4 linked regions of the Nothobranchius furzeri genome follow. The protein of the gene in region 2 interacts with the protein of the main gene of each other region in a biochemical or structural test. Links are inferred from orthologs where the notes say so. Each region holds a gene or a part of one and is shown on either strand. Other genes may lie near its edges.

The links.
Region 1: the proteins of rnf7 (region 2) and ube2f form a complex in vitro, tested with the Homo sapiens proteins (10 studies listed by BioGRID, with this or other methods). The link is inferred for Nothobranchius furzeri from reciprocal best matches to the Homo sapiens genes RNF7 and UBE2F.
Region 3: the proteins of rnf7 (region 2) and ube2c form a complex in vitro, tested with the Homo sapiens proteins (4 studies listed by BioGRID). The link is inferred for Nothobranchius furzeri from reciprocal best matches to the Homo sapiens genes RNF7 and UBE2C.
Region 4: the proteins of rnf7 (region 2) and cdc34b form a complex in vitro, tested with the Homo sapiens proteins (5 studies listed by BioGRID). The link is inferred for Nothobranchius furzeri from reciprocal best matches to the Homo sapiens genes RNF7 and CDC34.

What each region holds. Positions count from the first base shown.
Region 1 is NC_091754.1:2,839,133-2,845,580, reverse strand, and holds the start of ube2f (NEDD8-conjugating enzyme UBE2F), read right to left. Parts: upstream 3,856-6,448; 5' UTR 3,644-3,855; intron 1,537-3,643; exon of another isoform or gene 1,514-1,536; 5' UTR 1,457-1,513; coding exon 1,342-1,456; intron 349-1,341; coding exon 319-348; intron 1-318. UniProt on the Homo sapiens protein: Accepts the ubiquitin-like protein NEDD8 from the UBA3-NAE1 E1 complex and catalyzes its covalent attachment to other proteins. Together with the E3 ubiquitin ligase RNF7/RBX2, specifically neddylates cullin-5 (CUL5).
Region 2 is NC_091753.1:33,214,055-33,219,443, reverse strand, and holds rnf7 (RING-box protein 2), read right to left. Parts: upstream 4,146-5,389; 5' UTR 3,920-4,145; coding exon 3,754-3,919; intron 3,677-3,753; coding exon 3,629-3,676; intron 3,093-3,628; coding exon 2,974-3,092; 3' UTR 2,685-2,973; downstream 1-2,684. UniProt on the Homo sapiens protein: Catalytic component of multiple cullin-5-RING E3 ubiquitin-protein ligase complexes (ECS complexes), which mediate the ubiquitination and subsequent proteasomal degradation of target proteins.
Region 3 is NC_091743.1:77,061,350-77,067,819, forward strand, and holds ube2c (ubiquitin-conjugating enzyme E2 C), read right to left. Parts: upstream 3,856-6,470; 5' UTR 3,750-3,855; intron 3,504-3,749; 5' UTR 3,484-3,503; coding exon 3,377-3,483; intron 2,335-3,376; coding exon 2,307-2,334; intron 1,866-2,306; coding exon 1,779-1,865; intron 1,691-1,778; coding exon 1,486-1,690; intron 1,381-1,485; coding exon 1,321-1,380; intron 647-1,320; coding exon 609-646; 3' UTR 517-608; downstream 1-516. UniProt on the Homo sapiens protein: Accepts ubiquitin from the E1 complex and catalyzes its covalent attachment to other proteins. In vitro catalyzes 'Lys-11'- and 'Lys-48'-linked polyubiquitination.
Region 4 is NC_091751.1:57,907,365-57,913,691, reverse strand, and holds the start of cdc34b (cell division cycle 34 homolog (S. cerevisiae) b), read right to left. Parts: upstream 3,856-6,327; coding exon 3,670-3,855; intron 3,586-3,669; coding exon 3,499-3,585; intron 3,408-3,498; coding exon 3,310-3,407; intron 1,733-3,309; coding exon 1,598-1,732; intron 1,485-1,597; coding exon 1,274-1,484; 3' UTR 1-1,273. Other genes in the region: splicing factor Cactin, read left to right, coding at 4,981-5,279, 5,801-6,327. UniProt on the Homo sapiens protein: E2 ubiquitin-conjugating enzyme that accepts ubiquitin from an E1 ubiquitin-activating protein, and catalyzes its covalent attachment to other proteins by an E3 ubiquitin-protein ligase complex. In vitro catalyzes 'Lys-48'-linked polyubiquitination.

The sequences.
Region 1 (6,448 bases), on a different chromosome or scaffold from region 2:
ATCATTCTGGGATTTTAAAAAGCTATTTTAGTTCTAAAATATAAAACACAAAAACTCTAAATATTCAGAATATTTAATAAAAATGCATTTAATTGTCTTCATTTCCCACATTTACTGCTGAATCTGATCTGAGAATCAGGAATTAAATGAATTACCGCTAAACCATCAGGAATTAACTAAATAAAGAACACGAAGCACTTCCTCCACGTTCCAAGGCTTAGCTATAACAGATGTTTTAATTCCGCTCCGTTCGCCTAAAGGAGGAGGTGGAGTTGGGTAAAAGGAAGCCGTGGGAATGGAAATGTAAGGAACACTTACTAGGAAGATTGGCTTCAAGTTCTGCAACTTCTGTTGAGACAAAAACAGAAAAATGAGTCAGAATAAAGCAGAAAAGCAGGTAAACACTGAGAAGGTGTTGTTTAGAACGGCGGGTCGCGAACCGTGTCTGATGTTTGCGGTCAGCGTGAAACAGGAAACGGCGTGGTGAGACGAGGGTTTTGGTTTCTGAAGTATTCTGAATCCTATTGTTTCTAAACCGCTTCGACTCGGAGAGATTTCTCCGTTAGAAGCCCGGTTCCACTGGGTGGTTTGGGGATTGTTCCGGCTCGATTAGAAATGTCTGTTCCTGTTCGTATAAATGCAACAACGCAGCCAATTAGAAGCGGGGAAACCTCGGTGGAGTTTTTATGGGTTTTTATTCACCTGCACAATAAATTCTGTAGGAAGCTTCAGCTAATTAGCAACTTCCAATCAGAGAAGACTGAGACAAACCATCAGCTAACAGAATGAACTGAATAGCACGAAGGCCGGAGTGAGAAAAAAGTCTTAATGGGTGCGAGCACAAAGAAACTAATGATTGTACTTTCCTTCGTCAGACAAAGACACAAGAAGCTTGTCTCTGATTGGCTAACAGCAACACGACTACCACTGACTGTCTGCTCTGCAACGCTGATGATTTATCTCCACCAATAACACAAGCCTGGAGGAGTTCTGCTGTGTGGTGGAGTTGCTAATGCTAACGGTTAGCTTCTACTAACCGAGACGTTCTCTGCTGTTTCCTGGACTAAACCAACAACAGCCTTCCCCGTCGTGAGTCCAGATGGGTGAGTCCATGAATGTTAGTGACAGTGTGACGTAAATCTGTCAGGATTTTCTAGAGTTTCACCATCTGTTTTCTATCAGAAGCTAATGCAGGAGGTAGGTGTAGGAGACTATTTTCATGTTCAGCCTGCATGAAAAACTCATTACTATTAGAATCAGAGACAATCATTAGTAATGGTTCAGTGTTCCACGCCTACAAATCCTTCAGAGTGGAACGAGACGATAAGGAGATACTGGTACCTTTGGTCAGGAGGCGGTCCCTGATGGAGACCCTGTGGGTGGAGTCTGAGGCTCCAGAGGCACGGCTTGCTTTCCCTCCATCCTCCTTCTTCAACTTGCTAGCCAATGTAAGCATGGCTACGCTGCTGAGACACGCCTCTCTCTGCCCCGAGCCTCACCGCCTGTCCAACGTCTGCCAGTGACACAGATCCACATCTTCATTTTATCAGAATAGATAAACAAACAAACAGAGAAACAACAAAGTGTCTGTTTGTATGTGAGAAAGTTGGTTTGAATGTTCCGCTCAGAGCCGGCCGGGAGGGAACAGAGGTGTGAGAAAACGCTGAATAAGAGCCGCTTCGCTTTGAAACTAATCTGCTGAAAGTTTCCACCAAGAGGAGTGATTGTGTCTGTGACTCATCGTGTTGGTCACCAGCATCAAAGAGCACCTGGAGTGGGAATAAATGCATAAACTCAGATTACACTAAACAGGTGGAGCGGCTCGGTCTAATGCAGAATCAGACGTTTCCTGTTCAACGGTGTCATGTTTTCTATTTGATGTTTAAACAAGAAAAACTGAAAACACTTCAGAAGGAAAAACAATGCAGTGATTATTTTGGACATTTTTCTCTCTGAGTCTCTAAAGTGTTACCAGCTGGTTTTCAACTTTTTAGTCCAAACCACCAAAACAGTCCTTGGGTGTGACTCAGCGACACGCTGCTGTGACGTTTTAAACCGAACTGTAATCCTGTTGAAGTCAGACAGGGTTTCTGACACCACAACATGATGACTTCAGCAAACAAAGATGAACTTTATGTTTCACTTATGATGCCATAGCAAAGTCAAGCCCCCTGAGCCTCATCAGGAAAGGTCACGGCTAGTCTCTGGATGTAAACAAACAAATGGGTCCATTTGTGCTTTCAGATGAGTGGAAAACAAAACTAAAATGTTTGGGACAATTTGAGCCAAAGCAAGAAAAGTTGGAGCCAAGTTTGCTTTAGGCCCAAATATCATTTATAATCTTTATATTATAACTGATGTCCTGACTCCACCTGTATTAGTGCAACAAACCCAGGTAAAAAGAGGTTTCCTGTAACGTCTCCACTCTGTAAAACCCAGTTTGTGCACTGGGTGAGCTCACTCAGAGGGGGAGTGATGGTGTCGTGTGTCGCCGAGCCCGACTCGACACACACCTGCCCCAGCTGTCAGTCACCTCATATGTCTGTACGGCAACATCATCACAGCAGAGCTCACAAAGTCAGCGGCAAAACAAACGCAACAACACTTTAATCGCCGCACTACGGTAGTGCTTGTACACCAAACTTTTAACAAGGTCTTGTACAATAGATGTTTTGTTTTTAGAAAACCTGAAAGACTCTTTAGGCTTTCCCTTAAACCTACCCAACAATCTTTTCTTTGTATCATTTCAAGCCACTTTCACCTGTACGTTTAATAAAAGTGATGAAGTAAGAAAGATGCATCTGTTTGTTAACCTATCAATCACAGACCTCGTTATAAATGGTCTCAAGATATTGTCGCCCAGAGGTCAATCAAAGGGAAAAGAAAGACAGGCAGCCCTAATCAGATAATACCTAAAAGAGTCTTAACATTCAACGAAGTGTCATGCAGTTCTAGTTTTATGCTTCAATAAATAAATACATATATATACACACACACTCAATTTAGAGCTTGAGTCTGAGCATAACATCAGCGGGGAGTACTCATTATTTATGAAAATAAATTGTTTTGTCAAAGAAAAAGTCTGAAGACTAATTTTCTAAAGTATAAGGTGAACTTCTCTGTCTATTTTGCTCTGGATGCTTGATCATTAGTATACTAATTTATTTCCATAAAAACTGATCATAAAGCTAAAAATAGTGCATGCCATTTGTTTTGTCCTTATTTTTCAGGCCTGTTTGTGGTCAGACGTCTGACCTGCTACAGCTTTAACAGTGAGTCTAGCCTATTAATCACAAATTAATGCTCACTTCCCTCATTTCGTCTCATCTAGGTGGCCTGCCTTTCACACACGAATCCAGTCAACGTGACAACAGAGGAATCCTAACAAACAACCCAAGTCTTCTTAAAGGCGCTGAAACCAGCTGATTTAGAGCGACAACTTAAGATTTCACCTTCTTCCTCCTCCTCTTTGGTCGGGTTACCATAACAACACCTCGCTAATGTTGCTAATAAAAGCTACGTAGACGTTTCCAGACAGATCGCTCAACACCAGGTTTCTGCTCACAAGCACAAATGACACGGCTCCTTTCTGACGGCTGAACTTTTCACACCAGGAGCCGCTTGTGTGTTCTTTGTGTGTTACCTTCTGTCTCCCAGCTAGCTCTTCGTGCTAAACCATAATCAGCGGCTCTGCGAGCTCAAGCTGCCGCCAGCAGCACCACACCTGGCGGGTAGCAGACGCGTCCTCCTCTCAAAGGATCCAAAACTAGTTATTACCGATTCTACAACAGACTGGGAACTGATTTGGGAATCAGCTGACAGAAACTTCGCTCCGGTGGCAAACGGAAGCGCAATGGAGCAGTGCCCTGTTATTTGCTTCCGTGTGGACACACGGTAATGATAAATAGTTCCGCGCTGCTTGGTGGACGGTTATAAACATTTTAATAACCGTTAATATTATAATTATCATTAGTATTATTGTTATTGTTACTATTACTAATACTACTTATAATAATAATAATAATTTTTATTTTATTATTATTTTTATAATGATGATGAAGATAATAATAATTGTTATTGTTAGTAGTAGTAGTAGTAGTAGTAGTAGTAGTAGTAGTAGTAGTAGTAGTAGTATTTGTAATGATGTGGTTGGAGGAAAATGTCCACCTTTACAAATAATTATGAACCTGTAAAGATTTAATATTTCATTGTGATTATTGACCCAGTGAGAGTTGGACTCTGCCAGTTCATCCAGTTAAAATCCTTTACCTCAGAACCCTCCCCAGTCAAGTCAGGTGTGCCCCAGGGCTCTGTCCTGGGGCCCCTCCTCTTCATAGTATATCTCCTCCCTATCGGCAAAATCTTCCGCAAATTCAATATCCAGTTTCACTGCTTTGCAGATGACACCCAGCTCTACATTTCCAGTAAGCCCAACTCAACTCTCCCTCCATCCTCCCTTACACTCTGCCTCTCTGAAATCAAATCATGGTTCACCTCTAATTTCCTCAAACTCAACGGCAATAAAACTGAACTTCTTCTTGTTGGCACTAACTCCACCCCCTCAACATCTGACAGCTTTTCTTTAACTATTGACAGCGCCACAGTCTCCCCCTCACCTCACGTCAAGAGTCTGGGTGTCATTCTCGACAGCTCACTTTCTTTTCAGGCTCACATTAATAACATAATTCGGTCAGCATACTTCCATCTACGTTCCATAAACCGTCTCCGTCCCTCACTGACCCCTCACACTGCCGCCATTCTCGTCCACAGCCTCGTCACCTCCCGTATCGACTATTGCAATTCACTTCTTTATGGTCTTCCCAACAAACTCCTTCATAAACTTCAACTGGTCCAGAATTCAGCAGCCCGTATTATCACCAGAACCCCTTCCTTTCACCACATCACGCCGGTTCTCCAGCAGCTTCACTGGCTCCCAGTTAAATTCAGGTCCATCTTCAAAATTCTCCTCCATACCTTCAAAGCAATCCACAACCTCTCTCCTCCATATATCTCAGACCTTATAAGTATTCACACCCCGTCCCGTTCACTCAGGTCTTCTTCTTCCATCCATCTTGTGGTTCCTTCTGCCCGTCTCGCTACCATGGGGAGCAGAGCTTTCAGCCGCTCTGCTCCTCGACTCTGGAACTCACTTCCCCCAGACATCAGGAACGTCGACAGTTTTACCCTTTTCAAAACAAAACTCAAAACACACATGTTTAAATCTGCCTACAACCTCTGATTTTATTGAAATGTTTCTCTCTGTTTTTTTCTTCTTTGGGTTTTATTATTGTTTTATTGTATTTTATTACATGTTTTGTGTAAAGTGACCTTGGGTGTCCTGAAAGGCGCTTTTAAATAAAATGTATTATTATTATTATTATTATAAGGCTGCCCTTTGTCACCGATTCTGTTCATAACCTTTATGGACAGGATTTCTAGATGTAGCCAAGGTGAGGAGGGCATCCGTTTTGGTGGCCTGAGGATCAGGTCTGTTTTTTGCAGATGATGTGAGAGAGAGGATTATAAGACACCTTTCGTCAAACATTTTGACAGGTCTATTGTTCTTTGACCTTTCATTCCTATTGTTCATTTGACCCTTGACCTTGCCCCCCCTTCCTATCATTAATCAAATGGACAGGTGTATTGTTCAATCTTTGCCCCCCCTTCCGTATCATTAATCAAATGGACATGTGTATTGTTGATCGTCCAGATGGTTTAGACCCCCCACGCCGCATCATCAATGGCGTATTGTTGAACGTGTCCAGATGGTCTAGACCCCCCACGCCGCATCATCAATGGCGTATTGTTGAGCGTCCATGATATCCCACGTCATAGGCTAATGTGTGTAATGGTGTGTGGTTTCTTTTTTGTGATAGCCCATCGGTTCCCACAGCCCCTCCCTTCTGAGTGTAATCCTATTGTGTTTAACTCTTTAAAAGCTCAGATCTGTCCGAATGGTGAAAAGCCGAGCTCTAAGAAAAAAATGGCTCACTGACAGTGGATGAGTGCGGCCTAACTGTTGTGAATGACAGCCCCACACACTGTCAAGTACCTATGAAATGGTTGTACGTTTCCTCAAAGTTAAAGAATCTGTTTTTGTAGTAGCAGACAAGATGGTATGGTCTGCTAGCTCTTGAGTGAGTGGCAGAAGCTGAAGTCAATGCATGAACTTTTGCAGCCTTTTGCTGAACACACACAAACTCTTCAGAGTGACACATTTGTCTATGTCATTAATACTCTCTTTGAGATGTTCACGTTGGATTTCGTATGTTCAGTCTTAAATTTTGTGTTTAAATGTGTTATTTACATGCAGCTCACTGACACTTTTTGACCAGAACTAAAACTATTGTGTAAAACTCTCTGTCCAGCAGCACATCAAATTAATGGCTGTAAGCACACACACACACACACACACACACACACACACACACACACACACACACACACA
Region 2 (5,389 bases):
AGCATTTGGCAGGGGTTTTTCTCAGCCTCATCCCAGGTGCCGGTGCCCACTTCCAATTTTAAACTGAGGGCTGTGGGTGCAAGTGGGGTGGTGTGGTGGCATAGGCCATGGAATACACCTCATCAACACTCACTAACACCATATTGGCTTCCTGGGGCTGGAGGCTAGGAGGGAGATCTGGCCGTCCGGTTGGGGTCTGGGGTGGTGGGTTGCTGTGCTCAGCATTAGGCGGGGGAGCCTGCTCATCAGCACCCCAGCAGAAAGGGTCGATCTCTTGGAACCGGTAATGGTTGTACCCCATGTGCAGCAGTACCGGGACCAGAGTGAATAGGGTGTGTATGGGGAGCATGAGTGGGTGTCCGGCGTGCATTTTTGTACGTATTTGGTTGTATGTGTATGTGTGAGCATGAGGGAGGGAGTGTGTGACTGTGTTTGTGTATGACTGTATATGTCAGGTGGGGCCTTTGACTCCTCCCTTCTCCTGGGACTTCTTTTGATTATATAGATCTTCGTCTCCCCTCTCCCTGCCACACTTGGTGTGGAGTATGGTGCCTTGGTCTGCCTGGGTCGTGGCTCCTGGGTCAGGGGGTTTAAGATTTTTGGCATCTGCCTGACCAATCCCAGTGGCTGCCTGGTGGGGTCTGGGTCCCTGGGTCCCCGGCGGGGGTGGTCGCCCCTGGGTCCCGGGCTCGGCTGGCTAGGGGGTGGAAGGCTGCGGGCGGGCCTGTGGGCTTGCCGCCGATACCTCCCGGGACTCTGCCGGCTGCTGGTTGTGGCCCCCCGGGGCGATCCTCTGCGTCTCTCGAGGGGAGCGGGGGCTTTTCTGGTCGCAGCCTCCCTGGAGTTCCTGTGCTCTGGGGCAGCTCCTGGATCTCTGGGACTTGGAGCTCCCTCTGTCTCCTGCATATATTTAGGGGGCAGATCTGTGGCCCCTCACACTCTCTATTGGATGCTCCTATAGAGAAACCTTACATAAACAAGTGCGTGTACACACACAGGTGCTCACCTGGTGCTCTCATAAGTATGGACTTGGGCACGTTCAACACATGTCTTAAGGCCATGGTGGGCACTTAATGCACTGTGATTTATTATCGTGTGATTGTTCAGTTAAACAATGATGAATATTCATTTCTTCATCAAGTTGACGCAGTGATAACTGGATCTTGTTGTATTGTTGTCCCATTTTTATTTTTTTGTTTTTTTTTCCTTCTCTCTTTCTGCAGGTCTAGAAGCAGACTCTTGTTCATTATTGTTTAATTTTTGTAAGTACATTTCTTCTAAAGTGTGTGTGTGTGTGTGTTTAAAAATGGCTGAAAGCCTATGGAGATGCATCAAGCCACAGGCTTATCTAGCTATGATCTTTTCTAACCAGCTATAACGGTCGTTGGTTAATTTGGATCTAACTTCTTCTGCTAGTAAAGAAAAATCCTGTTTTCAATTTAAAATGATTTTTGTTTATTTGCCCTTCAAGTTACAGAAGGTTGAAGCAGCCGTCCAGTCATTAGCCTCATGTTACCCTGGTAATAGTGTTCCCTGTAAATTTCCCAAGAGGACAAAAAGAACAAGGACTAATTTCTACTAATAATTTTATTTTACAACTGTATTCAACGTTAGCCTATTATCTACATCTTCTAAGCTCAGAAGCAGCTGCTTGACATGGGGAGTCTGCCATTTTCCACAGTGCCAGCTGTTTGGCAACCAGTAATGGTGCCCTTTATTGGCTGGTAGATGTAAACATGAACCCAGTGTTGTGCCTTTAAATAACTATTTGATGTTAGGTATGTACTGCCCTCTATCACCAGGGAAAATACTTAAAGGTGCATTATGTTTAAATGAAGTAAAAATTACTTCCTGTGGTTAAATTTGGTTACTGCAACCACATTAAACAACTCTGGAGCTTTTTGCCAGCAGTCGTCAAACTACAATTGTGGGCGCTGCAGTATTAGCTCGCAAGAGACACAATCCCACACTCACTTATTCTTAAACAGTAGGTATGTCCTTCCTTCCTTTGTTTTGGAAGAAGAAAAACTGACAATTCCCACAGCCAGCTGGATACGAAATATGTTTCAGTATAATCTTCCTTCCAAAAAGACTGAAACATTAGACTCTTTAGGTCTTACTATATTCTTACATACTGCACCTTTAATATTAAAATAATTTCAGCCCCCTAACATATTTTTTCAAGGAACAATAGGTTTGATGGAAAATCTGACATTGTTTAAATTATTTCCTGTAATTTTGTATCTTGACGAGGTTAACCTCAAGGTGGTTGTACATGCGACCACAGATTCATGGTAGTCATGGTAACAAGGTTATGCACTTGCACCAATGTTATTTGCCGCTTATGCGCTATACAGCATTTTTGTATTTAAAAAATGTTATTTAAGAACATCTGGTTACTCATACATCATGAAAATTTCCATCATAAAATTAAGCGTCATTTTAAAACAGTTATTTGTATTTAACTCAGATCATCTTTGATGTTGAAATAAACATTTGGGTGTGTTTTACAGATCTGAATAAATGTAAGACTTAATGTAAGAAAATGTAGATTTAGGGCTTAATTTTTGGTGCTCCATGTCATCACTGGTGATGATCTCACCTATCCCTGCAGACCCACTTAAAGTACAAGTATAGTAGTACTACATGCATCATCATTTCCAACACCAATACATAGTCACATCTATTTCACAAACCATTTATTTTTTATAAAGAAACCACACATTTAAGATGTGCCAAAAACTACACAAAGCTAACAGGTGACACTTAAATACATTTCACTTGTCTCTTCTCGGCTCCAGATCCCTTCAGCGACCAATCTGTGCAACTTTAACCATGTCCGTTTTCCTCCTTTGACACCAGGAAACATGCAACCAGAAGGAAGAGGACAGCACAGGACGTAGCTGGGATCATTGATAATTTCCTCTCACCACCTTTGGGTGCACAAATGTACAGTCCACATAGATGTGAAGCTCATTTGCCGATTCTCTGAACCACCCAGTCCTGCTGACAGAGCGGACAGCGGTTGTTCTGCTTCACCCAAAGCGACATGCAGCAGTTATGAAAGGAATGGTTGCACTCTCCCCACACAACTGAGAGAAAGAAAACACACAAGTGACTAAAACAGCGTTATGTTCTACAAAGGGCATTTGTATTTATGCTAAACATGGGACACCTAAAGCTTTTTTTATAAACAGCCTCTCTTGGACATCTTTCTCAGTGAAAGTGGCAGATGATCATGTTTGTGCAGCAGTAATGTGTGTTCCATTAGTCTGATGTTAGAAATAGGTGTGTCTGCACGCTGCAGTGAAGTGCTTGTAGTATTAATAAGATTCTGCAACAACATACAAATGTTTTAATATAGTTAATAATGCTGTAGCTCCCATATAAACGTGTACATGTTCTGCTTTGGTCCTGCACCTCACATAAACATGTCATTTTAAAATGGATTTTAAAAACGTGCATTCAAACATTTTAGCATGTATATGGTCAGACCATATAGCCATACCTCACTGCTTTAGCAGGCAGGTTTGTTTGGTTTCAGATATATTATTTAGCTAACGCTAGTTGGGTGACTTGTTAACTGTTTGTGTTTCGCCCTAAACAATAAACACATGACGTGTCTTACCAACACAGTCCTCTTGTTTATTTTCCGCCTGACATCGGAGACATGCGTCTGCAAAACAAGAAAACCCCGTTACAGGCTTTTAGTTGTATAGCCAGATTAGCTTCACCTGTTGTCCTCATACTCACCCATCACTTGAACCCGACAAATGGCACAAGTGTCGCACTCAACGTCCCAGCTCCACATAGCCACCGCATTCCACTTCTTCAGGGAAAACATCTTGTCGCCACCCGACTTGGAGCTCGAAGAGGTGCTGTGAGAAAGGACTAAGCCCGGCTCGTCACCGTCGCCCATCTCTGCCCACTGTTAGCTTTGCAAAGCTAAACAAAATGGAAGTGATGCTAGCGCTAATGCTAATTGAGTTAGCGTGCTAATACATTTGGACAGCAGAGGGCGCTGTTTATCAACTTGAGGTTTCTGAAAGGGTGACCCCGGGTTTCCACGGGAGCCGTCCGTATATGTACAGTCTATGGAGCCGTCGAGTAGCCCCTGGCTGCATCCCGGAGATCGGGGCGGGGCTAAATGTGGGCGGGGTTAAACGTTTAGAGGTGGGTGGAGACAACTATTTGACTCCTGCCCCTCTCTCAATGGAACCAGGAAACTGCGAGTAGCCCCTTTCTAAGGATTAGAAAGCCCTAAAAACCCACAAAACCAGTGGCGGATCTAGGATTTTTCTGAGGGTGGGGCCATCAAGGGGCCACAATATTTATAGAGGGGCCACGTACAGTCCAACATACTTGCATACTATTCCCAGTTTTGTATGGTAGATACAGTTTACCCCAACACCATGTTGAAAAACATCAATGCAATTGTACATCAATTTTTACTGTACATTGACAAAATACAACCACACACAGCATTTGAGAAATTTTAGCATTCAATTTATTTTACAAAGCCACAAATATCAGGTTAAAATATGTTTGTGTGTGGAAAAAACACCAGAAGAATATCACAGGACCCTCTGCTCTTGACTGGGAAATGTCTGGTGGGAAGTCAATTAAATAAGTCTGAGTCAGTTGCTTATATCTCTCAACCTTTAACATTCATGGCATTCAGAATCTGCAAGTGACTGACTGCAAAATTCAATTAAATTTAAAGAGCCTTTACAAAATGAGAAGCACACCACCAGGTCCTACTGGAACAGAACACCGTTCTGATGTCTGCGCAGGATTCTGTGCATCACACTGGAAGATGTCTGAAAACAGCAAATGAGAAATTATCTAACATAAGCCAAATACATACACAAGCATTTATTACTTTCAAAGATCAATGTTTACCATTTGATTCTGCAGGATTAGCATTGATTGGTGACTCTGGTGGCCCAGCAGGATGGAAGGTTGAGTCATTAACTTCACTCTGGTTGTCTGAATTGGAGAGAGTCTTGTCCAAGTTTGCAGCTAAAATACAAATATATGTCAAACTCCAGCTAAATCCAGCCAAAAATTTGTTTTCTATGAGACCACATTTTTATTTATTTGAAATTGAAGACTTGAAAGATTGGACTATAAAGATGAGATGTGGTAAATGTAGACAAAGAAACCAATACAATTTAAATCCATTATGTTAATGTTATAGTAAATCACATCACCATGAAGCGGAAGAATTCAGTAAACATATGTGCCATTAGTACAAGATAACATCATTTAACAAATTTGAGATAATGGTGATTTTTTTTTTTTACCTAGAATAATGGCAGGAAAAGTTGGACTAACAAAGGAATATCCAAAACACAAAATCTCTTTAGAAAACTTAACCTTGACCTTA
Region 3 (6,470 bases), on a different chromosome or scaffold from region 2:
GAAGGTCAAAGGTCGCAGCTTCCTTTGAATTTGCACAACTGGCCAGTGAGATACATCCAGGTCTGCTGGCGAGATGTTGCACGTCTGAGAGGTTTCTCTGATGGGAGTTTTGCAAAGAAGGATGGTTCCTTATGCTACTGACCCAGTTGGCCTAACAGGACAGCGTGCTAGAACTGAAGAATCCAGGAAGTAAATTGTCTTTTATAAAACGGGTTCTTTACAAAGTTAGACAAACCAGTATGTAGAACGTCTTCAGACACCACTTCGTTCCTGCAACACTTAGAGGCTCATTACACTTAACATGAAGTAAATCTGTTATACAGTCATTATCAATATAGTAATATTATGTGAATATACTGATAATAAATCATTAAATTCAACAAGTAGAATCATGTGGTGTTTTTAAGATCTGAAATAAAACATTTCCAGAATAAACATTTATGTTGATTCATTCATTACTGTGATGCTGTCAGTATTATTGACTGTAAAGATAGGAAATTATTTTATGAAAGAGTGTTGAATTAAGAACTTTATTGACACAACAATGTAAACAAACATAAAAATATTATACAAACAAAACAGACGGAAGAAGAAAAGCTGGGACTGCTTCACTTCTGGAAGGTAGCGTGCAGGTGAGCTTTGAAGGCTAGAGAGAGAAAAAAAACAGTCAGAACTACAGCTCCCAAAATCGTTTGCTGCATGTACAGAGCTCACAAACTGGTCTGAGGTCAGTTCTACATCTGTATCATCTGCAGGTCATTTAGTTCACTCCAGGAGAAAACAGGCTCAGCTCAGTTTAAAAGGACAGCTGTCTGATTGGCTGCAGAGGAGGTTGAACCCAGCAGATGTTTAAAATGAAAAGGAATAAAGTCACAAAAGGAGTCCAAAAAGGTTTCAAATGAAGGCAACTGGACTTCTCTGGCTTCTTGAAGACGTTTTGCTTCTCCTTTGAGGAGCTTTGTCAATTCTGACTGGAATCTGTTATTTAACGAGCCGAAACTACTCTGAGTACCCCTCCTCTCTACCCACTGAGTCGTTGGCCTCTATAGACAATAGGCAGCTACAGCTTATAAGCTTGACTCTCCCATTTCCAGTTAGAACTGACAAAGCTCCTCGGATGAGAAGCGAAACGTCTTCAAACCAAAGAAGTCCAGTCACTTTCATTTGAATCCTTTTGGGTTACCATGACCTGGATGACAGAACCTTCACCAGCAAAGTCACAAAAGAGAACTGCTCAAAAGTACCCAAACACCGATTGTATTAGTAGCTGGCCGTTCTCTGGGTTCTGCTGGCTGCCTGAAAGGTTGTGGGTGTACTTACCACCTTGGTTGCTCCACAGTTCTGCTGCGGTCGTGTTCAGAGGACTCTCGTTGTTTGGTTCTGGGGAATACAGAAGGAATTGTGTGCTGCTCTCTGAGCTGTGCAAAGATGGCTCTGATGGATCCATCAGGTTTTAGCAGACAGCAAACTGGTGGTTCCGGTTACCTCCCAGTAGACTCTGGATGGACAGCAGGATAGAACGAACATCGTACAGTGCCGACCACTTGTCCTTCAGGATGTCGAGACAGATGAAGCCCTGATCGTCCACATTGGGATGGAAACACGGAGTGACGAACTTTACCCGAGGAGCATGGTACGGATACCCAGCTGGAAACTCCAGAGACAGACGGTACCGGAGGCCTTCGTACACCTGGGCACACAGGTAAGAGTGTCGGGTGAATCAGAGCAGCAAGTGGAGGGGTCAAGTTTTAGATCGTGCTGTATTTATGTGGTCATACTGTTCCTTGGGCTCCATCGATGGTTCCGACCCATTTGAAGAGATTATCCGATTCTGGAAAAGCAGAGATGCCCTTATCACCCGACATCTACAGGAGGGAGGAACGCACAGGTCACATGACCTCAGAAATATCAGGTTTTGTTGATTTTACTAATGTCAGGTATGTTGGTATTGATGCTCCTGTGTGAATGATCAGACCAGAGAAATCAATCACAGAAACAAACAAATCATTGATAAGTGTCTGGATGAGAACGGAGCAGCTGACCTGCAGATGACTAACGCCACCTGTGCACTTCAAGCTAAACACTCATCCTAACCAGCACCAACTCTGCATTAGTGTTGAGGCAGGAGATCGTGTGACTATGGGTGCATCAATCAATGAGTAAACACCACCACCCAATGAGGATGAACTTGTGCAGGTCATCAGGTTCGTTAACATTCTGACTAACAACTGTCCTGTGACCCGTTAGGATCGTCCATCTTTCATTTTGTTATTGAAACCAAAATAAAACTATAGATGTGAACTTACCATGAGAGTCATCAGCTCCTGCTGCAACCTACACACACACACACACACACACATACGAATTAAACAAGTGCAACACAGGTCCAGAAATAAGCTGCAGTAATAAGATCAATAACAGAACAATTTGTTTCACAAATAAAAAAAATTCAAGCACCTGATCAGTTAACAACTCAAACTTTCCTGTTTCATAAAATTCATTTTTGTGATGAATAAAACCAGGAGAGATCAGATTTCTTCAGTTTTAGGATCACTTCATTAGCTAAAATATCCAGAATTGAGTTTCAATTTTATTTCCAAATCTGAAGGATCACGCTTTTTCGATTAATGATGCTCTTGTTCCAGATGTTCCCAGCAGAACACTTGGCTCTCAGGCTGCTTTTTACTTGTGGCTTCAACTTTCCAGCGGTCCTAAAAGTAGTAAGGAGGCAGAACTTCCAGTTCTCAGGCTCCTCTGGTGGAACCAGCTTCATGTTTCCACCACATCAAGCAGAAGCACCTTTGCGTAGACTCTAGGTTAGTTTAGATTATCCTGGCACATCTCTAGTTATGCAGCTGCAGGCTCACATTGCTGGAGAACTCACTGGGTTATTGATATTTTATTGTCCAAAGAAGAACCAAGTCCAGCAGAAACGTAGACCGACAGATGGCGTTTCATGTGTGTTATATATCTCCAACTAAAGTTTAGAGCAAAACATTCACTCCCACTCAGAATTAACTGCTTCTACGGAGCCGCTGGTTCTGAACAACATCACACACACACACACACACACACACACACACACACACACCACCTTAGTTCCATCAGTACACAGTGTTTAAGTTATTCTTGTTTAAATTGTGTAGAAGTACATTTCTTTAACTATTTTAAACCTGACTCTCTCTCTTTCCTTGGAGTTAGTACAAAGTGTTGCTTAATCCCTGCAATAAAAAGTTCCGATCTTCTGAACAAAGATCCATCAGATTGATATTTCATATTTCTATGGAATCTCACATTTTATGGTTCAGAAGTAAGATGTAAACGACCCATTCTTTACACCTGTAAGGTTCCGGTTCTGTAACGGCCCGGAACTCACCGTTTGGTCACCGAGCCTCTGGTCGCGTTGCCACTGCTTTCGCTGCCTTTCAGAGCGGCCGTGGAGGAAGCTGCAGCCGCGGCGGGGTCCATATTCTGGGAGGCCATGAATGCTGCTAGTCCGACTCCTGCCGAGGACACAGATATAACATCAGACGGACTGAGCAGGGGAGGCAGGCCGAACCGAGCCGATCAAATCCAACCGAGCGGGCCGTAGCTTCTGTAGCTAACAGCAGCTACATGCTAACTCCCGGAGATTTCAGAGAAAACGCTGAGCCGTGCCTCGTGGTACCGGTCAGAACCACTGGCTCTTTGTCTTCATGCTAACACATGATTACATTTATAGCCATACTATAGCTGATTTAAACACTCACCGGTGTTCAGTTCGTGGTGGAAGGCTGGATTCTCTAGATTCAAACCGATTCTTCTGCCGCCCCCAGTTTAAAACGACGTTTCCTCACAAACAGCCAATCAGTGTCTGACTTTCAAAAAATGAACTACCCTCATCGAACCAATGAGAAGATGGTGATTAAAAAGCTACACTGTAATTGGCCAGTAGAATCAGCCAGAACCCGCCCCCACCATCTAGGCGTTCACACAGCGGAAGTCATTGGTTCAATTTGTTATTTTAAACGCGTTTTTTAAATAAATGAACTTAAAATCTAAGTTATTAAACACATTTTTGTTTACCCCTCCTCCTACAGGGATGTATAAAATCTCCTAGAAGAGTCAAGAGCCTAAATCAAGTTAAATGATGGATCACAAAAATTGGAGCTTGGGAGGATGAGTACACCTGCAGAGGGTCAGAGGGGAATATATATATATATATATATATATATATATATATATATATATATATATATATATATATATATATATATATATATATATATATATATATATATATATAATGAAGTGGCTGATATCAAGAAATCCTACCAAGAACTAGAAAGAGCTGGTCTGAAGAATAGCACAGAGGCACTCATCATGGCTGCACAGGAACAGGCCCTGAACATCTACCACACCAGACAAGACCCAAGGTGTAGAACCCTGAGACAATCCACCACATAACTGCAGGGTGTAAGATGCTGGGAAGGAAAGCATACAAGGAACGCCACAACCAAGCTGCTGGCATAGTGTACAGGAACGTCTGTGCAGAGCATGGACTGGAAGCCCCAAGGTCAAAGTGGGTAACACCCCCTAAGGTGGTTGAGAACAAGAGCCAAGCTCTTGTGGGACTTCCAGATCCAAACTGATAAAATGGTGATGGAGAACCATCCGGACATTGTGTTGGAGGACAAACAACAGAGGACAGCTGTTGTGGTTGATATAGCGATACAAAGTGATGTAACCTCAGGAAAAAGGAGCATGAGAAACTACCTGGGCCTCAAAGAAGAACTTGAGAAAGCCTGGAGAATGAAGACATCGGTGGTGCTCATGGGCATCAGGGCAGTAACCCCCAGACTGGAGGAATCCCAGGAAAACCATCTCAGTCCAGAAAAGTGCAGCTCTAGGAACAGCTAAGATACTGCAGAACCCTCAAGCTCCCAGGCCTCTGGTAGAGGACCCAAGCTTGGATGAGACCACCCGCGGAGGGTGAGATGGGAATTGTGTGTGTGTGTGTAAGCCCATGTTTATTTTTTCAAAGCAACAATAATACCACAAACCATAAATACAAAGTGAACAAGAAAATGAAAGTTTTTTGTTGTTGCAACCAAATCCCATTAATTAGGAAAAACAGGTTTTTAAACTAGAATACAAGAACAAAATCACAAAGGTAAAAAATAAAATAATTTTTCTCTATTTAATTCAAGGATTAAAACTTAACATTTCAAGTATTTTTGTGAATTTTCTTTGAAAGGTTAAAAATGATGTCATGACAATATTTTTCTTTTTAAAGCATTTTATCACCATATTCTCTCACAATGCCCCTCAGACCTATCTGGAACGTTTTAGGACTTTGTAGCACCTTCACCGTATTATTTAGAATTAAACTGCATCATTTCACAGATCCCATAATTATTTGAGTCACTGGCGCACGGCCCCACCTGAATCTGAACAAAAACACAAACAGAAGTTTTCAATTAAAGTTTATTGTTTAGTGCAAATAATAAAAAAAGTTTCCAAACTCGTCACATTTTCATTTTCACAAAGTTCAGTCAGCTTAACGACTCAAACCACTCACCTGTCTGGGTCAGCTGGTGGACGGAGCTTCACTCAACACATCTGCATTCCATCTGGTCAGCTGATTTTCTGTCTCTGGATCAGTGAACCAATCACAGTCCACAACCTACAGCAGCCAGTCCTCAGAGACCGATGAGCGTAGGTCTCCATCATCTGTTACCGTGATGACAGAGCTCGGTATCGGTCACATCCAAAAGAGGAATGCAGCTCCATTTGTCCAAAACCAGTGACCTCTCACGGACCACTGAGCAGGACCTAGGTCCGAGTTCAGCCTATAGAGTTCTGATATGGTTCTGATCCACTTTGCTCCAACTGCAGCTGGATGACCCGTTTGAGTTCTGCTGCTCTCATCTGGTCTACAGTGCATAGAAACCAAAGGAATTCAACAAACAAAACAAAAAAACACATGACTCAGAAATGCAGCAGCAGAACATCACCTGACCCCTGATCTTTGACCCCTGACCTGCTCCAGCTGCTTCATCTCTGAGCTCAGCCTTGATTTATTTTCAGGAGATAAGATTTTGTTTAATCAACAGTTCAGCAGCTTGTTTCATCCAGAAACCTCCAGCGAAGTTGTCTTTTCATCCCTTTGTTTCCCATCTCTTCGGTGAAATGTTTGTTTTTTAGTCTCTGATCCGAGATCGGCTTCCGGGTCGATGGGACTTGCGTTAGTCAGACAAAGTTTCCACTCAGCTGATTTCTGCTTCCTTGTGATACACAGAACAACTCACCACAGCTTCAGCTTTAAATCAGATAAAGATGAATCCTCTGAGCTCCTCACCTGTCCTTTCAGGTCACAGGTGAGACTCCAGTTGAAATTAGTCTGCTAGTTCAGTTTTTACCTAATGTCCAGGAAAATCATCTCAGATTTGCCTCTTCTATCCAACAGTGATGGGAAACTCCCTTTAAAA
Region 4 (6,327 bases), on a different chromosome or scaffold from region 2:
GCTCGTCTCAATTGTTTTGTCGCGTATAATTTTATCCTGAGTAATTCAATATGATGTCCCAATTAAAGTAAATAAAACAATAATGCTTACTGAAGACAAAATTACACATAGGACATCCACACACTCTAAAAACAAAATCAAAACCACTCTTACAAAAAAATAAATCAATAAAGGGGGCTAACATTTCATTTTCAGTTGTAGGGCTGAAGAAGTTTGATCTCGGTAGTACACACCGACACAAGACTACCTATTCCAGTGCATGCCGAACATCTAACAAAGAAAAACTAAAATCATAGGGCCTGCAAGAAAGCAAAAAGAGAAACATCTGGCAAAGCGTATTAAAATTTAATTTACACTCTGCTTTAGTTCTTCGGGTCCATCAGGCGGCTCAGAGAGCAACGCTGAGGAGAAATACAATTCTAATCAATAATTAGTTCTGCCCCTCTAACCTTCAACAACTTGATTATTACACAACTTTAATAACAAGTTCATTCAAAAAAACACAACCCCACACTGAGTGACAGAAAAACACATCCAAGATAAAAACCCAGCAGAGATCAATTTCATGTTTTAGTAAGAATGTTCATATGAGGAGCTGACTCAGCAGACTCCAGCAGACGGGACGGCCCTCCATTGCCACGAGTCTCTCATGACGTTGGGAAACAGTCCACCAATTTAAAAAATAAAAATAAAAAGACAAAAAGCTTTCAAAGAAGTTCTGGCATGCATGAGAACTTTGAACATACTGTCCATGAAAACTCCTCCATGTCCTGCCAATCAAAGACAGAAACTGTAAAATATGGGACACTTGCAGTCCTTTGTCCATCTTGAAGTCTGTAAAAGTTTCCACCACGAGGCGGACAACCAGTGAGACACCCCCAGTTACAATTAGAGAAATACAGCTATGCAAAACAGGTGAAGTGATGGTTTAAGAGTTTGCACCAGTTCAGTGATCATGAAACCCAACCAAAAATATTTCATACTAAAACCAGGACTGGATTTTGTGAGCAAAGTAAGCTTCAGTGTGATGAAAAGTTCTCGAAGTTGGAAAAAAAAATTGGTGGCTGTGCTGGTGCAAAAGTGACCACAGTCTGACCCTCTCGCAACGAGGCATCAGTTTTAACCTCTGAGGCTGAAGGAAAAAAGCTCTTGTACTGATTTAGAAGGAAGCTTCCAATCTCTCTTGGTTGCAAACCAAGAATATCTGGCAACCCAGGAAGAGTTAAAGGATGAGCATTCGTCAGCTAGGTTGGGTTTTCTGACAACAAGAATGTCACGACTCCTCATTGCCCGAGTCATCCTCGTCATAGCAACAGTCGCCGTCTCCCCCCTCCACGTCATCGTCTTCATAGTAATAGTCATAGAAGAGGTCAGAGCCTTCGTCTGGCGGCGGGGCGCGTGTACGAACGCAGTATTCAGCTAGCGTGGTGGGCACCTTCACGCCATCTCGCTCTGCTTCTGCCTTTGTGGCCAGCACCTGTTTCCTGAAGGGATTTGTTTTATGAAGACTGAATTACTTTTGTGTGGATGGTGTGGCTTTGAAAATCTTTTAGAAATATTTGAGGTTTGTCTTAAATAACATTACACTAATGTTTACCTGATGATCTCTACATATTCCCGGTCCTTGCCTTTGCTGTCTCTCCATTTCCGGTACATGACAGAGGCGTCCACGTTGGCAGGGGAGAAGGTGTTGGGTTCATTTAGCAGCGAGATCACGCTCAGCAAAATGGTCCTAGAAGCAAAAAACAAAGGCAACTTAGTATAGAACCATAAGAAAACGACTTTAGGTGAATTAAAAAGTTTTAAACACATAAAAAATATTTTAATGTCACAAGCCTAAATTACTTATTTCATCTACTATTTTATTAGAATAAACAATGAAGCACATATTACATTAGGAACTTAAAGCTAATTGATAAAACATGTATTAAAAAAACCTGTCAGACCCATGTGCTACCACCCTACCAGAATCAGAATCAGAATAGGTTTATTGCCATTTTCAGTGAACAAACAATTCACAAACTAGGAACTTGCTTCGGCACTAATGTGCTACATATAACATGAATAATAAGATTAAAAATAGAATAAAATAGAATAAAATATAATAATTAAAAAAACTAGAATAAAACTTTCAGCTAAAATGGCAGGTAATGGTAACATGGCCGATAACGTGACGTTGTGTCGAGTACAGAAGACCAGCATGGTTGTGTGTTTATAATCTATTCACAAGTCTAACGGCAGATGGAAAGAAGCTGTTCTTATGGCAGGAGGTTCTGGTCCGGATGGACCGTAACCTCCTGCCTGAGGGAAGCGGCTCAAAAAGTCTGTGACCCGGGTGCGAAGGGTCAGCTGTTATCCGGCCTGCACGCCCCCGAGTTCTGGAGACGTACAGGTCCTGGAGAGATGGAGGGCTGCAGCCAATCACCTTCTCAGCAGAGCGCACAATGCGCACTGACAAGCCTTTACATTACATTTATAAAACGTAGCATTGTGAGTAAGGTTTTAGTGAGTCGTTATGGGAAACAGAAAGAAGCTGCTTCTGTTTGTGGCCAAAGGAACAGCCTTTGTGACAGACTTCCTGATCTACAGATCTAATGTGTCTGCAGCAAAAATGCAAATGAGGAAATTAGGTTAGGTTAACGGTATACCACCTGCAACAACAAAAACATAAGAGCTGCACTGCATCAAGTGACCGAAACCACCAGAGCTTACATCTTTGTAACACTGCTGAAGTTGTGTGATTTCGACTACTACAGATCACAGGTTTAATATCACTTGTGAGTGTGACATCGTTGTGGTGGCTTTTACATAGATAGTTTCTTGTTGAATAGAAATCTGGCTCTCAGTTACAGAAAAAGATCAAAGATACATTTTTTTGTGCACAGATTGCATAATGTGAGCCTGACAAATAACCTCAGAAGGAAGTTTATAATAAATAAAGATGCATTTTCTCCCTCTTCTGCAGCAAAATGCTGTCAAACTCATGCGATACACTTATTGTGAGTCACAATGAATTAAGGTACTCAAAGTATGTTTTTCATAGAAATAAACCAACAAAATCTTAGTTTGCATAGTATGATATTATCCAAAGATCAATTTAATTTTGTTTGTAAATAAGAGGAAGATGCAGATCTAGCTTTACTGCTGGCTGCTGCAGCCGGTGAAGAAGATGCTGCTGATAATGAATGTCATAAGATAAGAGTCTGCGCTGGGTGAACCATTGAAGTGATTGCAAAGTGGACAAAGATGGAAGGAGACCAGAAAGGAGAAACGTATAGAGAGAATATGATTAGAAAGAGAAATGCTAACCGAACATTCTGGGTTGGATTCCATCTCTCTGATGGGAGCTCTCCGCTCTGCGGGTCATCCACTGGAGGGTGCAGTATAGAAATACACACATCTCCATTCTACAAGAGGGGAAACAAATACATTCCATCATCAGATGCATTCATTCAAATTAAATACACTGTTATGAGTACACACACGTCAATATTTAACCTCATAGATGTTGGGATGCCACATTTTGGTTAGGAAGCGGAAAGCAGGAGGGGAGTAAGGATAATCTGTAGGAAACTTGATCCTTGCCTAGGGGGGAAAATGGGGACATCTTGTTATTTTTTAAACTACGGTCATTTCTTATATGTCATCTGATTTTAATTACAACCTTACCTTGAAATATCCCCCTTCATAATGAGTGTTTGGTGGACCAAAAATGGCGACTTCCCAGTTGTATAAATCAGCCTCGTCCACCAGAGTGATTTTAAATCCCTCCACAGGCTCTTCCTGGAGGCTCTTCATTTCCAACATGAGAGCTTTCTGCGAACTAGCTACATGAGAAGGGTCGTGTTGCGCCATAATGATTTATGAAGCTTTCAGGATTATCTGGAGGCGACAGCTTTTGTTTACACGGCTAAGCTAGCCAAGCCAGCAAACAGCACAACTTCTCCTTTTTCGATGTTCGGAGGCAAAGAAAACAGGCCGACCGCGCGTAAAAGCAAAACAAAGACTGCGGTTGGTCTGTTCCCAAATTAAACGTTATTAATGTCAAAACTCAGTAATGTTATAAACGAGAAACACATTGTGTCTGAGAGGCTCAACAGCTTTGGCTGATTTACCTGGCAGAGCAGCAGCTGATATAAGCCTTAAATCTACTGTTAGCTAAGGAAAGCTAACAAGCTCCGTCTAATTGACCAGCTGGAGCGACGTAATTACCGCAAAAACACAAAATAACTACATAAAATGGCAATTTGAAAAGACAAACGCAAAAAGTCATGTGACACTACGCCAAACTATACCTCCAGTAACCATAATTGTTTAGCCCTCATAGAAAGCTGCGAAAGGAAATGTGTTGCTGAAAGAGTCCCCTGGTAAAAACAGGTAATGGCGCCCTGTTGTTGGCTGGGACTGGTAGTCTTTCATTCCGCGTTTGTTAGATTAAAAAAACGTGAAACCAAAATAACTGAAAACCCTGGTATAATATAATTCCTGTTCTTTTTATTTATGATGTTTTTATTTTTATTTTAAATGCCCAAAAAGAAAAATAAGTTTGTTTGTGCTTGCATTTTCCTGTTAAACTGTTTAAATACGGTAGCGGTTACTATGGACGAAATATCTATGACATCAATAATAGTATTTTATCACCGACATAACTAAATTGTAAGAAAAACAATCCTGCGTTCATTTGTGGCTAATTTGTAGTTTATTAAGTGGCTGTGACGTTTTAATCTGCGCCAGTGCTCAGGAAAGCCCATTTAGGCTAGCTTTTCTTTGCCTTACTAAATACATTTGGATTTTTTATAAAAGAAATCTGACACGTAATTTTTTCTGTCATAGCACACGTTAGAGTATGCGAACATTAAACATAGACATATGTTTTTATTAGTGCGATTGTAAACGTTATTATAATCAACAGTGTTTCGTCAATGCCTCCTATTTACGCGACAGACTGCATTTAGGGCCCCGAAAAGAAGAAAGTTCGTGATGGGTTCGAAAACACGGCGTAGGTCTCGTTCCAGGTCCATAAGTCGGGGCAGAGATCACCGAAACAAGTCCAGAGTAAACAGGTCGCGATCTCCAGATGAGAGGAGAGGTCGCAACAGGTCTCCGAGCCCGAAAAGGACCACACTGGGTCGAGGCAGATCCAGCAGCGAGGCTTCGAGCGATGGCTCTCGGGCCCGACCTCAACATAGGGGCCGATCAGGGTCCAGGAGTGAATCGGAGGGGGACAGATGTCGAAGAGCGCCGCGCCACAGCAGCAAATCAAAGGATCGTGCATCGAGGTAATTTTAACACAATATGTTACAGTACGATAAAAGGTTGTGTCTGTTAGTTAAGCTTCACTCGTCCAACTTGAGATTCACACATTAACTTGTTTTTGACTCACGCAGCGCAAAAAATGAAGAAAGTCGCCACAGTCAAAATATATTTTTGTTTGTGATCTATTATTCAGAATAGAGAGTCGCTTGAGATTGGCAGATTTTCATCATCTTTCCTCCAATAAGTCATATTTATAGGTGGTGGGTGGGTGTAACCCACAGGTGGTTATTGCGACAGGTGTTTTTAAACACTATATTTACAGTAAATGTCTGCATGTAACTGTTTAGAAGCAGGTTGAAACGAATTTTACTTTGATTAATTATAAAAACCGTTGTAATCCAATAGATCATTAAACACTCCTAGATTATATATAGAATAGGTGTTAAACACTGTAAAAGGCTTATAAAATGATCTCTTGATACTAGTCATAATTTATGCGTTTATATTCATTTAATTTTCACACTAAATTCTATTTTTGTCTCAGTCCTGATTCAGATAATTCCAAGATGAGAAGGAGAAGGAAAGAGATGGAGAAACGCAGCAGTAGATCCCACGAGAGAAGAAGGGGAAGGTCCCAGTCTGCCTCTGATTCAAGTGATGCAAGCAGAGAAAGAGAAAGGAGGAGGAGAAGAAACAGTCCAGTCAGAGACAGACAGATGAGGGAGCGGTGGAGAAGCAACAGCAGAGACAGAGAAAGGACAAAAGACAGGGACGAAAGCTGGACGAGAAGGAAGAGCAAGGAGAGGGAAAGGGGGAGGAGTAAGAGGAGCAGAGATAGGGCTGATGGGAACAGAGGGAGGCAAAGCCCCAGTTCTTCCGAGTCATCTGAGAGTTCAGGGTCAGATTGCGAGAGCCGAGCAATCAAAGAGAAAACTGAGAGGAAGAACAAGAGGGAGATGATGAAAGCACTGGAGACGCCAGAGGAGAAGAGAGCCAGAAGGTTGGCGAAGAAAGAAGCTAAGGAGAAAAAAAGGAGAGAAAAGATGGGGTGGAGTGAGGAATACATGGGGT